3 linked regions of the Saccharomyces cerevisiae S288C genome follow. Changing the gene in region 3 together with the main gene of any one other region gives a genetic interaction. Each region holds a gene or a part of one and is shown on either strand. Other genes may lie near its edges.

Region 1 (3,427 bases), on a different chromosome or scaffold from region 3:
AAATAAAAAAAAAAAGAACCAGGTTATATAATTGTGAGTTGATCAGTATATAAATGAGAGAAAAGAAGTTTCTATTGTTCCAAATTATATCCAAGCTGATTTTTTAACCCTTACCTCACGAAAAGCAAGTTTAAGACAAACACTCATAAGAATCCTTACATATACTAAAAAACAAATGCAAGTCTCCCCAGCTATTGTAAAAGGTATCGCAGTCTCATCATTAGGTTTATACGCCGGTATTTTAACTTCATCTACCGTGATTTCTATTACCACCCCAATAAATGTTCTAACTCAACATTTGAAGAATGTTTTGTGCACATTAGGATGCTGGAGCACCGTTTTAGGTGGTTTAGCTACTGGTGCCTTTGGACTCAGCTACTATCTAGCTGCACCAGGAGAAAGACCAAACTACCTTTTGTGCGGACTTGGTGTCGCCCCATTATCTGCAGCCTACCTATACTTAGTATCACTGTTCAATCACAAGCTAGCCCCAAAATGCACACGTGACCAAAATGATTTAGAAAAGCAAAAGGATGAAAAATTACCCCAACATCACCCGGAAGTCAAAGATGGGGAAGCTGCATGCCCATTCTCAAAGATGAACAACGCCAAAACATTAAAACCTGAATCCGAAAGAAGCGTAAAATGTCACTCATACATGTCATTGCACATGAGCATTGTAACCGGTATAACAATTTTTACCTTTGGTAAGTGTATCCTAGATGGATTCAAAGCATGAACGACGAAGCACGTGACACGTTCCCTTCAAACATCACAATTATTTAAGCGAGACTAATATATATGTTTAGCGAAAAAAAAGGCCAAAAAAACTAGTAAATATACAAAGCAGAGTATTTTTGGCTCTTGTCCACATTGGATAAGAGAATATTTATTTTTCACACAGAAAAAAAAGTTATATACGTATCTCTAAGAAAGTCAAAGACAAATTACGTAGAATGTGATTCATTCCCATTTCGCCCGTACACTCTCTGTCTCTGTCTCTGTCCCAAACTTCCCTTCCTATACGTATTCATAATCTGCTTAAACGTCAACAGTAGTTTCGGAACATCTTCATACGTAGGGAATACGACTTTTTTCTTTTCACCTGCAGCTTGAGCCAAACTAAAACTGGGATCCGGATAAACTATTAATAAAGGATCGCAAAGTCCATACGCCAGTTTAATGGGAATGAAATGATATTGCGAAGTGACGTCAAGAATCGACTTTAAGCTATATCCGAAGTCAAGAAAGCCGAACCTTACATGCGGTCGGAAAGCAAACGAGGAGATTAGATTGGTTTTCATATCCGCTAAATTTTCTTTTGATTTTACTTTGGCTTAATCTAATGCATGTATATCGGAAGAAGCAACCGATCTGGCCCAGTTGAGTCGTGCTACCTTAGTCATGCCCAGGAAAACCGGATTCCTTCTTTTCATTATGACATCCGTTTAGGTCAATAGGCTTTTTTTTCTCTCGCCCGTGCCTCTCCGTGTTCGATGAATGTGCAGCTTGCCTCCGAGCGGGCGAGCCACCTCGAGCGGGTGACGAAATAGTGGAAAAGAAACGGGGAAGCAAAACTGTGCTGTTCTGGCCCGCAGCGGACGAACGTCATTAAAGGCGCTCCATTTCTGTCGTGAGGGTCTTTCGGTGCGGTGGTGAGGCTGCGTAAACAAGCTTGCTCTTCATACCCCTCCCGTGGAGCTAGTTCGGAAGGACTATTGGCGCATCTTCTGTTGAGAGGTTCCGTAATTCTCCGTAACGTCCCGTTCACCACTTTGCATGTGCTCTCACGTACGGCCGTCTCTTTTCGGCCTTCGGCCCGTTCCGATTTTTGTACCCCTTACGTGCTTTGAATTCTAGAAGGCATCTCCTCTCCGATGGCTTGGTACAGGGAGCACTAGGGAAATTGCACATGGAAGTATCTGGAATACAAAGTTTTTGAAAAGAAAAGCCGAGCGTAATATTGGGACAATACCCAGTTCTCAGCCTTTTCAGCGCGGGTATGAGACAGCTTGCAACAGGTAAAAGGAAGTTAGAAGGGTTAGGTGAAGGGAACGATGATGCTGCCTGAGAACAAAAATGCAGCTTCATGTTACATACAATAAAGGAAGGATAATTAAGGGGACCATGCAATAAGGGACAACTTAATTTTGGAAAAATCGGAGCTTAGTTGCATCTACCTACTAATACTTTCCCCAAAGAATAATAATACGAGTACAATACATATATATATATATATATAATATACACATGTAAGTGATGACTATTCTTAATACAAAAAAATTTCCCTTTTATAATAACTATTCTTAGCATTAAATAACCCGTTACTGACAAAAAGCATATAACATAGGACTCAAGATCGACTCTCATACCCTCCGAATCAAATTCTCACTCGTATACGCAATCATTTAAATAAGCACATCATTATCAGCATATACCGAATAATAAAAAGCAAAAATGTATACAAAACTAAGATCTATACAATCAGGAACATTTAGCACAGTTTATAAAGCATGGAGTACTACACATAACCGCTACGTCGCTTTAAAGATTACTCCTAAATACAAAACTTCAGAAGCCAACATGAAGAACGAGTATGATGTAATGAAGATTTTGAGTTCTTGTAATCCTCACCCCAACATCTGTTCGATGCTCGACTTTTACACGGATGACTCGTACTACATCATGGTGCTAGAATACTGCGAATGTGGTGATCTTTATGACTTTCTAGATATTGCTAAGAGTCAAGGTAGCCCGTCGTCTCCATCTTTGATTCAAATTGATATGCAAAAGATAATCAAACAACTGTGCTCAGCAATCAGCTTTGCTCACAGCTTGGGTATTGCTCATCGTGATATCAAACCAGAAAATATTTTGCTAACGATAAATGGTGACATCAAGTTGGCAGACTGGGGTCACGCTATCCAATCCCCTAAATCTAACGACTTCCAGATTGGTACCGATAATTACAGGGCGCCAGAAACTTTCTCTGGCCGCGTTAGTAACTCTTGTTTTAAGAAGAATTTCGATCGGTCATCGGCTCCATTGTATAACACATACCAAGCTGACTATTGGTCATTGGGTGCCACCATATTTTATCTGATGTTCGGCGATTGCCTTTTTAGAGTCTCCAAATCAAAGAAGGTTCAGCATCTAAAAAATTTCGATGAGTTTGAAAAAGATCCATTTGCATTCATTTACAGGAAATACGTAGTACCAAGGCTCTCCTGTGGTTACAATGATGAAGAAGACCTACACGTTAGCCTGCAGCATACGAGGCAGTACATATGGCAAGATCTACCCGACATTTATGATGTCTTCCATTTGTGCAAGATTATGGTTGATACCTTATTAAAGGTATCGAACGCTAAAGAGAGGTCGATGGAGAATTTCATCAATGAAGTTGATTCTGCATGGAACAAAGATA
Region 2 (8,999 bases), on a different chromosome or scaffold from region 3:
ATGTCAGATTTTCTCTTTTCGGCCACCATTATGGTATCTAAGCGGCTATTTAACTTACTTGTTCCTATACCGAAACTATCTCTTTCGCTTACTGTCCACCAACCTAGTTAGCTCTTCAAGGACAATGTTTCCCCTTCTGTCTTCAAATTTTTTCTTAAGCTCATCGATCAACAGCGAGATCTCAAACTCTTCAATGTTCTTGTCAATTTTTTTCGAATTTCTTTCTATGAACTCCACTACTGCTCTGTCATCATTAACATCCAGATCGTTATACCATGACTGAACTATTTTCAACAGGTCGTCGTACTTCATTTTCGTTTTGTTATCACATGTTTTTTTTTGCAGTCTTTTGATCACTTGTCCCTCGTTCAACCTCCTTCTCAGTCTCCAATATAAAAATCTGCGTGACTTTTTCCATTCCAACTCATTTCGGATTACTCCTTTAACTAGCATCCTAGTCGATCTATCATGTAAATCTGCAAACTGTATGCTGATTTGATTGTAAATTGGTATCAACTGTCTCTCTCTTATTTTCAATCTCTTCGTAAGATCATTTTGTTTTTCCAAAGATAACTTTTTTTCTGTCAACGTTCTTCTCAAATGTCCATATGTGGAGTCTAATCGAATCATCGTCTCTATCATTTTCTCCTTACGGTATTTTATGCTAACTACTCCGTCAGGTTCTAACACACCTCCCCTAGATTCAACATCGGCATACATTTCCATTTGTTCAGGATTAATAGTTGGATCTATAACAACCCATGATCCGCCCCTTAATTCACCAAAGGGCGGAATGTATATCAGTATGGGTTGTTTGTAGTCAACCAGAGCGTCAACAATAAAAGACCCGTACTTTAGTACTTCATTGTACATATCCCTTTGACCGCCAGAAAATCCCCTCCAATTGGCTAAGATAATCAATGGTAATTGCTCACCATAGTTAAAATCATTTATAGTTTGAGCTGTTTTGAACGCGGAATTTGGATACCACACCTGTCCTGCTTCTTTAACGGAAAACTCTGAAGAATCCAGATTAGCTGGGTCAGCGGGGATTATTTCTTCGATAGTCTTAGTTTCTACCGCAATAACACCCACGGGAATACCTCCAAGACGTGCTCTTCCAACTATTACACCTTTGGCCCATCCAGATAATGTCTCAAAAAACGAATCCTTATCAAATAGGCCTGACTGGAAGTTGTTATTTGAGTCCCATTTACCCTCTATCAACCACCTTGCCTCATATGGCACTTGCTTGGCAGGTTTGAAGTCTACATCCCTATCCCATCTATCCATAGTTTCAAGAAGTGGAGGACTCATATCTCTTTTCGCCGGGACATATGATAACCATGTCATTATTTTTTCGATGGCTTTCATATCATTACTGGCTGTTAAATGCGCTATTCCGTTTTTATACATGATTTGGGTTCCGCCAATTTGTAGGTTAGATGTATAGATATCGGTACCCAAAACTTTATTAATCGCCGATGCACCCGTCAGTATGATAGGCTTATCCTCCACCTGAATAGTACGTTGTCCTAGTCTGACCAGATAGGAACCTATACCAACGGACCGACAAGTAACAGCAGTAATAGTGAAAATGTCTCTATACGCTTTCGAAGTGGCACCAGCAATTAAACCCGAGCCCTGTAAACATTCAACACCTAAACCCTCTTCGAATCCGACTATTGCTTTAATAATATATCTCTCTTCACCGTATACCATCTTGTGTTCAACAACAACCGAATTTCCTTTCCCAGAATCTTTCAGTAGCTGCATGTCTTTTGGAGCTAAGTATAAGTACTGGAAACCCTTTGTTGGATCAGAGGGGTCATTCCATGCTACACGAAATAGAGGGATCAGCTCTTCGGCTATACCCAATTTAGCTCCTGAATTCGCCGCCAAGTATATCCTCGGGATCCCTCTCTCTCTTGCATAATTTGTGACCCTATCAAAAAACAAATCTTCTCTCGGTCCAAAAGATCCAATATTGTAGGTAATATCATTAGAAATCACGATCATGTTACGCCCTTCAGGATATTCAGGTGTCTGAACCATAATCTCAAAAGCAACCATCCCTATATTATTAAGGCCTGGCTCCCTGTTTACTTTTATTAAATTACCGTTTTGTTCTATCAATTCAACCCAACTAAAAAAACTGTCATTCAGCTTATGTTTTGGAAAATACCTTTTCCACTGTTGGATTGCAGCTTGATGAAACAGACCTGGGAAATCGTACACATATGTTGTACCCATGAATTGAGCTTTGTACCTTTTAGGTTGTAGCCAATCCTTGACCGAGTAAGGAAGAGAGAGAGATTTCTGGCTATAATGGCTCTGCTCACTACACGGTTCCAAAATCAGATTCCCATTTTTCCCTATCTTTTCGTAATATGTCTCAATTTTTACCACATACCCAGATTTATTAGAAATAAGTAATCTAAGCGGGGCTGGCTTCTTTGTTTCTAGGCACTCAACAGAGATGCAAATTTCTACATCTGTGATTCTTTCTTGAAACAATCTGGTTTCGTGAGTCTTTAGAATTGTACTCACAATTTCCTCGAGACGATGTACTGGTATGTTAAGAACTGTATTGAAACTTAAAAAAATATGATTCAAGTCTGAATTTGAGATGTCAACTGCTCCTAGATGTTCTAACATATAAACCACTTGAGCATTGATTTCCGCTTTCAAGTTTTCTTCGGTTGTTTTTTGATCATTATACATGAAGGAATTTATGATTTTCCTGACAAAGAACCTTTTATCTAGCGGCGTAAATTTGCTAATACCTTCAAAAATGCGTATACTACTATCGTATGTAGGTAGTGATCTGATTTTATAGTTCGACATTTTTCCTAACTCTAACGGTGCTTCATAGGATGGATCCATATTTCTTATTTGAGAGATTTCATCGTACGTAGTTCCATCAAAGGAGTAAAATTTAACAGCGGGCGCATTCGCGGCGATAAATGCAAATGTAATACGATTAACCTTGAGCTTGGATAGACCTCTCTCATTTTCATGAAGTTTAATTTTTAAAGTTTTAATTAGATCATTTTCACTTCTGTAACGAATAGGAGATAAAATATTAACAATAAGAGAGTTCTCTCCGCTGGAAAGTCTTTCCTCAGGAATATGAATTTGTTCGTATACCTCGTCTAATGTCTTTTCCAGAGATTCAAGCGCACGCATGTTGACAAGAAGACCAAAACTATTTGCTGAGCTCTTACCTGATGTTGAGGGAGGTTTAGAAAGTTTTGTAAACTCATCACTCTCACCATCAGAATTGACTAAATAATTTCTTAATGAGCTGAATTGCCATGACATTAGTAAATCAGGCGCTCCTTTATGAATCTTAATACTTTTTAATTGATAATTGCCGTAGGCATACCTTGCATAAATTTCAGATGCTATACTGGAAAGAGCCGTATCTTGATGGCCAAAAAAAAAGAACAAATCCTGAAGTTGTATCAGATTTGAATGTATTAAATTACCAAAATCCCTCATACAGGAATATATGTTCCTGCTGTGAATGTTTTCGGCACCAGTATCCTTTATGTGCAATTGCAGGAGAGTTTTAATATGCTCTTTTCTTTTCTTTATGGGAGGGAAAATCCCTCTGAGTAGCACTGATCTTGCCTTTACAGCAACCTCTTTAGCCCACTTAGATTCCAAACTTGCCAAATCATGTATAACAGCCCTGAATTTTAAAGACATCTTAGAGGAATCCTGGCACAATGGCTCGTATTCATGCAATATTGCAGTTACTAACTTGTTCTTTGCGACTACGTTAGCATGCGATAAACTTATGCACAAAATTTTTTTCAAGTTTGTAAGGTCTTTCCTCCGCAGATTTAGTAAGTTTCTTTCTTCATGTATATCATGATTTTCAAAAATTTTCTCAACAGCATAGTACTTTTTAATCAACTTTAAAAAAATTTCACATTCGTGATTAGCTAAACCTTCGCTATACCTTTCACTAATTTTAAGAAGTGGCTGTAAGGCAACATAAACTACATGATCATTTGTATTTTCTTCCAAGTAGCGCTTCATTAATTTGTGCAGTTCCTTTGCAGGAAAAGAAACAGATTTCTTGACTAGATTTCCCAGCCCCTCATTCAATTGCCTTGGTAGTCTATTGCGTACCGTAGAAATTTGGGAATCCCATTCTGAATAAGGAAGCCTACCATCTCTCAATATTTTTATCAACTCTTTTAGAGTAGTTTCTATTCCAGAGTTTTCATGATATCCATTGAGAATATTTTCTAACCTATTTATTAAGACTCTGAGCTTATGGTTTGGTCGGCTACCCTCTATTAGCGGTGGACCTAAAACAGGTAATTCTCCGCGGTATAAAGACGATTCGTTAGCTTTGGACGGCGAATCCAAAGTCAATTTTGCGATGACATCACCAGCCTCAATTATGGAACCGGGCTGTCTTAGTAACTCAATTACACCATCACTTTTCGCTACTAGTGGCATCTGCATTTTCATTATTTCTATTTCTGCATATTGCTGTCCAGCAAAAACGTGATCACCACTTCGGACCAAATATTTCACCAATTTCCCCGGAGTTGGAGAGATCACTTGAGTGGGATTGAGTTCAGCTTCTAAAAATATGGTATTGGAGTCTATCGAAAGTCTTGTACCTCTGATATCGTCCTTCCAATAAACTGTATGGCATTTACCGTCAACGGAGATCAACAAGCAGTCACTGGACAATTTTTGAACATTAACTTCACATTGAGACTTATTGATAGAAAGAATAAATTGTTCTTCAGATGATTGAGCAACATTGAACAAGTATCTATTATTATCGAAAATGAAGTCAACAGGAAACTTCGTTTTAAGAAAATCTTTAGGTGGAACTTGGCCCCTCCGCAATAATTCCAAATACTTATTCCTCACCTTTTCTGTGAAAACGTATGCTTTCATTGCGGCACCACAGATAATAGCGAGCGTTGGATCTAGTTTGCTATCGGAAGATAAATTTTTCAAAATCAAATCATCTAACCAACCAGTCGATATGTTATTACTCTCAAAGTCCCGAGTTTCTAATAGCTCTATCAGGTACTCTATGGGGGTTTTGAATTCTCCTCGGATGGAAAAATCTTTTAGAGCTAAAACCATGTTTTGCTTTGCATCTTGCCTATCGTTTCCTACAGCAAAAATGTGCCCAAATTGGGAATCTGAAAATGAGTGAATAGCACCATTATTTCCTACTGAGAAGTAACCCCAAACATTGGAAGAAGAACGAAAATTGAGCTCATGTATTTTCCCAGTGGAGGGCTTGAAACCTTCATTAGGATCTTCTGAAGTGATCCTGCATGAAATACAATGGCCTTTTGGCGAGGGTCTCTTTAAATTTTTAAAATCAATATACGAAGTTCCCGTTGGATCTAAACCATAAAGTTTTCTGATATCACTTATCATGTGCATAGGAATGCCCATGGCGATTTGCAGTTGAGTGGCAGGAAGGTTTACGCCAGATATCATTTCTGTCGTTGGATGCTCTACTTGTAGTCTCGGATTCAGTTCTAAAAAGTAAAATTTATCATCTTTTGGTGAATATAAGTATTCGACAGTGCCCGCAGAAACATAACCTACCAATTCACCTAGACGAATTGCTGCGCGTTCCATCCTTTGAAACGTTTCAGGCTTGGTTATTGTCACTGGTGCCTCTTCTATAATCTTTTGGTGCCGCCTTTGTATGGAACAGTCTCTCCCAAACAATGTAATGTTAGTGCCATATTGGTCAGCTAATAACTGTACCTCTAAGTGACGAGCATCAGTGACAACTTTCATAACAAACATAGGCGACCCAGGTGTCTCATTCACTGCTTGGCGATATAATGCAATAAAATCATCCTCATTATCTACTCGCCTAATGCCCTTACCTCCACCACCTTCGGATGCCTTAATCATTACAGGAAATCCTATTAATTTAGCCTTTTCTAAAGCATCTTCAGGTGAGGAACAACATCCCCTTACATATACATCATCCGGCACAGATACAAAGTTCGTCTTGTTATCGATATGGATAGTGTCTATATGTGAACCAGACCAAGGGATACACGGGATTTTAGCGCTTTGTGCTACAATAGTGGAAGAAATCTTGTCACCCAATGATCTCATAGCGCGTCCAGGAGGACCAATGAATAGTATTTTCCTTTGTGAACTAGCTAACAGCTCAGGAAGACACGGATTTTCAGAAGCATGGCCCCATCCAGCCCAGACCGCATCCACATCCGTTTGCTCTGCCACGTCCAGTATTAAGTCTATGTTGGCGTAATTGTTGTTGTTGGTACCCCCTGGTACCTGCACATATTGGTCTGCCATTCTAATATACTCCGAATTTGCGTGTAAATCATCAGGTGTCGCCATTACCACGAATTGAATGATTTTTTCATCATTGAACGTCTCGTACGCCCATTTTCTTATAGATCTCATTTCTTTCACCGCAGCAATACCATTGTTTGCTATTAAGATCTTTGAAATAACAGTATGTCCACCACGTAAATCAACAAAATCTCTTAATATTGAAGGTTGGGCACTTTCCACAGTATTTAGCCCTATGAACTGGGGCGGTAATCGAGTATGTTTATGAATATTGCCTCGATCCACATAATTGGAATACCTTCTTCTAGATGGAAAATTCAAACCTATTCGAGATGAATGCCTATACGAATGGGCAAAAATGCGTTTTCTGTATTCAGGGCGCTGTCCTTTCAACCGTACTATCTGGCTGCCCGTTATATTATAGAATCGATAAGGATCCAAATATAACGCGAGCTTGTACTGTCCTATTCGAATGCAAGTAATTGTGAATATGGTAATGTAAAAGTGAGAATGTATCCGGCGAGCCCCCCAGCTTTGGCCGTGTGTAATTGTCTTCCCTTTCTACCCAAGATGACTTCTTCTTTATCATTCTTCATTATTCATCTTTTCTTGTCATCTGCCGCCCACCCATTTTAGTTACCCTAACGGAAACATTGATGAATGATGCTATTATTACTGTCATAAGCAATAAAAAGAGAGGTTCCTACTACTTCTCCCGTGGAAAGCTAGCGATAGCCTTGTACTCTATCTCACTTTCAGAATGCGTACACATTTATGTTTAAAGAGGCGTTTTGTGCTAGTTTTGTCTCAACGTGTATTTTATCGGTTGTAATTGTACTGACAATTTTCGGGCCTCGTTTGGCTGTCGCACTGAAATCTTCGACAGGGTATCGAAGAACGATACAACGATATGCCTATAAAGGTTAGTTAGCCATGATATTACTTCCTGGTTAGCTGGTGCGCTTCTTAGTCCTAACTTGCAAATTTATATCTACGTATAGAAAACTGTCAATATGTCATTACCGTTCTTAACTTCTGCACCGGGAAAGGTTATTATTTTTGGTGAACACTCTGCTGTGTACAACAAGCCTGCCGTCGCTGCTAGTGTGTCTGCGTTGAGAACCTACCTGCTAATAAGCGAGTCATCTGCACCAGATACTATTGAATTGGACTTCCCGGACATTAGCTTTAATCATAAGTGGTCCATCAATGATTTCAATGCCATCACCGAGGATCAAGTAAACTCCCAAAAATTGGCCAAGGCTCAACAAGCCACCGATGGCTTGTCTCAGGAACTCGTTAGTCTTTTGGATCCGTTGTTAGCTCAACTATCCGAATCCTTCCACTACCATGCAGCGTTTTGTTTCCTGTATATGTTTGTTTGCCTATGCCCCCATGCCAAGAATATTAAGTTTTCTTTAAAGTCTACTTTACCCATCGGTGCTGGGTTGGGCTCAAGCGCCTCTATTTCTGTATCACTGGCCTTAGCTATGGCCTACTTGGGGGGGTTAATAGGATCTAATGACTTGGAAAAGCTGTCAGAAAACGATAAGCATATAGTGAATCAATGGGCCTTCATAGGTGAAAAGTGTATTCACGGTACCCCTTCAGGAATAGATAACGCTGTGGCCACTTATGGTAATGCCCTGCTATTTGAAAAAGACTCACATAATGGAACAATAAACACAAACAATTTTAAGTTCTTAGATGATTTCCCAGCCATTCCAATGATCCTAACCTATACTAGAATTCCAAGGTCTACAAAAGATCTTGTTGCTCGCGTTCGTGTGTTGGTCACCGAGAAATTTCCTGAAGTTATGAAGCCAATTCTAGATGCCATGGGTGAATGTGCCCTACAAGGCTTAGAGATCATGACTAAGTTAAGTAAATGTAAAGGCACCGATGACGAGGCTGTAGAAACTAATAATGAACTGTATGAACAACTATTGGAATTGATAAGAATAAATCATGGACTGCTTGTCTCAATCGGTGTTTCTCATCCTGGATTAGAACTTATTAAAAATCTGAGCGATGATTTGAGAATTGGCTCCACAAAACTTACCGGTGCTGGTGGCGGCGGTTGCTCTTTGACTTTGTTACGAAGAGACATTACTCAAGAGCAAATTGACAGCTTCAAAAAGAAATTGCAAGATGATTTTAGTTACGAGACATTTGAAACAGACTTGGGTGGGACTGGCTGCTGTTTGTTAAGCGCAAAAAATTTGAATAAAGATCTTAAAATCAAATCCCTAGTATTCCAATTATTTGAAAATAAAACTACCACAAAGCAACAAATTGACGATCTATTATTGCCAGGAAACACGAATTTACCATGGACTTCATAAGCTAATTTGCGATAGGCATTATTTATTAGTTGTTTTTAATCTTAACTGTGTATGAAGTTTTATGTAATAAAGATAGAAAGAGAAACAAAAAAAAATTTTTCGTAGTATCAATTCAGCTTTCGAAGACAGAATGAAATTTAAGCAGACCATAGTATCCTTGATACATTGACTCATAATCAGTTAAATAGCCATTCAATCCCTTTGAGCTATCAACTTCATATTCCTCCACAAGGTCCTTCCACCCGCGAATTTTACGCAGCCGACTTAATTCATCTCCTGTAAATTGGACCAAGGGTTTGGTGCCATACTTTAATGGAC
Region 3 (4,331 bases):
TCGAAGAATCCGTTGTTTGACCATCCATGTCTGGCACACCTTGTGAGACAGCATCACCGACCACGCTGGAAAGGTCATGTATATCGTTGCGTCTGCAATATTCCTCGTCCGCTTCCATATTATTATATGCTGTTGGTTCTATATCATCTAGAGATGAAGTCATAACTATACTTACTTACGGCTGGATTGAGTTGTGTTTTGTACGCCTATGGTCAACAACAAATTTTGCAGTTTTTCGGTTGCAAATAATTTGAATAGGCAATGGGGACTATATTTATTGTCCTACTACGAAGGTTTCAGAGAAGGAACGGCGCAGGCGCACGAGGGCCGGCTGCACAGTATATATGAGCGACGATCTCAAGAACGATATAGGGTTTGACTATCTAACCTACACGCCTGGTTACCAAGTAAAAAGTCCTTTTCTCCCAGAACGGTGCTATTACATATTTATGGATTGCTTACTTGGCAGCTCCTTCTGCAGCAGGCTTTTTCTTCTTCTTAGCATCGATGGTTTCCACTTTGACGTCCTTTAGGCCTTTTTCTTCCAGCAAGGAATGTATGTAAGTTTCCACTTCATCCATCACGTCACCTTGAATGACAACTTCTTCTTTTTTCTCTGCATTTTTCGAGACTGAGCACCCTGTGGCGAACCTAGACGCAAATGTCTTGGCTAGCTTTTTCATGTCGATGTCGAAAACTTCCAGCCCAGAGATAGCGACGATAAACTTTCTCTTGGTCCTAGCTTCTCTTTTAATGATCACTTTCGATGACAGCTTCTTAGCTAATTCTCTTTGTTCCCTGTTTTCCTGTTTTTTTTGAATTTTCAGCAAGTCCTTTTCCAACTTTTCCTCTCTAGCTTCGCCAATACTGGATTCAGCCAGTTTGTTGGTCACGGCTTCCACCTCTTGCGTATTATCGTCAGTACCGTATAGCTTTGCATAAAGGTCTGCGTGGTTTTCAGATAACCAAACTTTACAACGCTTTAATTTTCCTGAAAACTCGCAGTACTCTGGTGGGTAGGAGCAAATTCCACAATAGATGACTTCTCTTAACATTTTATGCAATATGCTTTTCTTTAGTTTAGCTCTTGAACTGTTTCCTTGGGGTGATTTTATCCAGTAGGAATTAATAATTTTTTCACTCACACATCACATCAAGTATCTTTTTCCTTTTTTTTTTCAGCTTTTTTCTCTTTTGGTGGTGCGCTTTTGCATTTTTTTTTTCATATTTACACATTCATTATATGAGTAGATTTATAGAATTGATGTACATGGTGCAAGTTCACGTCAGTCAGTTGTTCTTTTTGTTGGAAACTGTGGGTTGCGTCGGTATCTTAATATCAGTAATAAATTGACCCAGTAGCCACACATTGGTGACGAAAAATAACACGCTTGCAATAAATAGTCCAGGATAGAATACATTCTTGCCTTCGAATTCCAAATAGTAACCTTGGCTTAACCAAATTCCCTGCGTTCCTACCCAAAGCGTGGCCATTAAAAGCCCCTTCTTCCAACCAATGTGCGTTCTTGAGAGGTAAAATGGTAGAAAGATCAGGTACCAAACAAAATATTGCGATGTGCACACTTTATTATATGTCACAAATGCGAACGTCTGCACAAATAAAACCCTCAATAGGTTATCGAATGTGGGATTCCACCATTCAAGACATCCAGTTACTAAAACAAGCAGCAATTGAGGCACAAATGCGTACCTTGAGAGATTGGACTCACCATTTTCCTTATTTGCAGAATCTAAATACAATAGCATGTTCCACACTGAAAAATTGTGTCTGTGATCCGTTCTGTATAAGTGGTACAAGTATGCCTGATCCAGAAACTCGTATCCGTATATCTTGTACATTGCCCAACCACATCCAAGCAAAGTTGTTAGAGTACTCAAACCGATATTGAGTAGCGATGTAAGTTGTGTTCGTGGACCCTGGTTTCTTTTATTGTAGTATATAAAAATTGCTATTGGGATACAATATATGATTGGATATATTTTGAAATGGATAGAAAGACCATATAAGATTCCAGCTAGGGTGTATCTACTCTTTTGTAGAAAAAAAAGCGTGAACATGATCAAACAGCAAAGCACGCTTTCAGCGTTTCCCCTTGTACTGATGGTGATAACCATCGGATTCAATAGCCAAATGCTTTCCAATATTAAAGCTCTTTTTCTGGAGATGGCCTGGTTCAAAAGCTTCATTATAATGAGCCCAGTAACCAAATCGAAAATAACAAATATGACCTTCCCCAAATGAAACCATCCAAAATAATGATTAGGCACTAGCAGCCAACTTAGTAGCGGTGTGTAACGATATGTATCCCTTGCATAAGGTGATTTGCCTTCGTATACATATTTAGCAGCATCATGAAACACAAAATAGTCGATATCAGTGTACCTCACTTTGAAATTAGCGTCCTGGTAAATGCCAAAAAGAAAAAATCCGACTCTTACCAAGAATGACAGTACAGTCAAGCCCCATTCTTCGCCAGTCATCTTTCAACTTTATCACCTTTTACCTTGCTTGTCAGTTGTTGACTTTTTTATGTATATATATTGTGTTTTTTTTTGTCAAGTTCTTACCAACTATTAAAGTTTCTTTTATTATTATCGGAGCCTGTAAAAGAGCTCCACATGTTTCGGTTTACCTCTTGAAAATTGATTGCGAACATAACGAGTCAAGCATGGCAGCAGGTGGTGAACTTAGTTATGAAGAGTTGCTGGATCACATTCTGAATAACAAGCCTATACCTAATATTGTGGAGGTGCCCAATGTTACGCTGGATGAGGGTTTAGCTAGTACTCCTTCATTGAGGCCAAGACCTAGGCCTTGGGAAGGTCAGCTGCAGCATCAATCTCATCAAGGATCATTAGACAAACCCAATATATCTCTGGACATTGATCAAGAAAGCCTAGAAGGCATGACCTCATTAACAAGGCTGTCTGAATGTTACGATATACAGTCTAAGTTACAGATTAATGACAGTGACAACGATAATGATGACAATAACAATGATAACAATAAAGGCGATGGCAATGATGACGACAATAATACAGTAACAGCAAATCCAACAGCTAGGTAAATTATTCACCCAACAGGTATGTAAAAAAATGCATTTATATATTTATATATAGTACTATTATCTTCCCTTTTCTACTTAAATTTTATATCGCTCATTCATACTTAATCATAGACCTGCCCTTTTTGCGTTTAAAAGAATACAAAGGCACATGCATCTCCTTCTTTTGTCTGCATAATGTTTCTAACAAAGTTAGTGCGATATCTGTCGTTTTATCCTTTCCTTTTTATTAATTTCACAGTCTGATCTTTTATTGTGATTAGATAAGCGGCGTTGGTTTTAATTTCACGCTAGTTAAGTCAAAGCAGAATAGAGAATAGCTCTACAAGAAAAAGGACAAATAAGGTAACTGTGATAGCATATAAAGGCGTATGAGTGAAACACGAGAATCTAATGAAAGTACAGTTTCGTCTTTACAAACCAAACTTTTGCTCAATGACGGAATATCCGAAAACAACAAGAAAAATGTTATACTGCTGAATCAAATAGTGCCGTTTATTCTGAATACTTCACATTATATGACGGATCTAATGTATGTCTTGTATTATCTGGCTCAAAAGCAGGAAGACGAAGTATTAAACCATTCTGGCACATTTATTTCACACAAAAAAGAACTCCTTGCACTAAAGAGTGATATTTGTGAACTAATTTACGATTTAAGGACAGGATTCCGCTTATTATTGGATAGTTGTGAGTTAGATCACTTTGAAACTCCTGGAAAATGCCGGCATTTGATCGAGAAGGTTCTAGTCACCTCCATTTATGGAGTGAACAGGTATATTTTCCAGGAATTAAACAGATTAAATGTCGATTTTAAAGATGAATTTATATTACAAATGCAAAATTGTTTATCAGGATTCGTTAATCTCTACAAATTTTTGAACAAGATCCCTATGAGTAAACAACAGTCACAGATGAACGATTTACAGATGAAGATCTTAGTTAATGTGTTACAGAATGAATTGTTACCCATTTGGAAGTTTCAGTTAGATCTTTTGAATTGTAAACTATTTAACGAGCTCTCTAAGGATAAGGGCCTGATTAATATATATAGAAAAGCTACGAACGATAGTGTTATTGATGTTAGCAAGGGTGAACCATTCATCAGATATGTTAATTGGCTAAAGGACCAAATTATTGGTGAAATGACGGTTTAATGCAAGTAATGTAATATAATACAAGAGTATAAAAATAAGGTTCTACACAAACATCTATAAATGTATAGATTATACTAGTTTGGTTGGC

Evidence for each region. Genes that interact genetically often act in the same process or in processes that back each other up.
Region 1: mutations in GPI14 (region 3) and YGR050C together harm fitness more than expected from each alone (negative genetic interaction), as found in Saccharomyces cerevisiae (one large-scale study listed by BioGRID).
Region 2: mutations in GPI14 (region 3) and HFA1 together harm fitness more than expected from each alone (negative genetic interaction), as found in Saccharomyces cerevisiae (one large-scale study listed by BioGRID).

What each region holds. Positions count from the first base shown.
Region 1 is NC_001139.9:591,139-594,565, forward strand, and holds YGR050C (uncharacterized protein), read right to left. Parts: upstream 1,305-3,427; coding exon 948-1,304; downstream 1-947. Other genes in the region: SCM4 (Scm4p), read left to right, coding at 176-739; protein kinase FMP48, read left to right, coding at 2,458-3,427.
Region 2 is NC_001145.3:677,118-686,116, forward strand, and holds HFA1 (acetyl-CoA carboxylase HFA1), read right to left. Parts: upstream 6,448-8,999; coding exon 76-6,447; downstream 1-75. Other genes in the region: ERG12 (mevalonate kinase), read left to right, coding at 7,350-8,681; YMR209C (uncharacterized protein), read right to left, coding at 8,794-8,999. UniProt on the Saccharomyces cerevisiae protein: Catalyzes the rate-limiting reaction in the mitochondrial fatty acid synthesis (FAS) type II pathway. Responsible for the production of the mitochondrial malonyl-CoA, used for the biosynthesis of the cofactor lipoic acid.
Region 3 is NC_001142.9:458,553-462,883, reverse strand, and holds GPI14 (glycosylphosphatidylinositol-alpha 1,4 mannosyltransferase I), read right to left. Parts: upstream 2,503-4,331; coding exon 1,291-2,502; downstream 1-1,290. Other genes in the region: YJR015W (uncharacterized protein), read right to left, coding at 1-163; TMA22 (Tma22p), read right to left, coding at 459-1,055; YJR012C (uncharacterized protein), read left to right, coding at 2,691-3,089; CAL4 (Cal4p), read left to right, coding at 3,458-4,243. UniProt on the Saccharomyces cerevisiae protein: Mannosyltransferase involved in glycosylphosphatidylinositol-anchor biosynthesis. Transfers the first alpha-1,4-mannose to GlcN-acyl-PI during GPI precursor assembly. Required for cell wall integrity.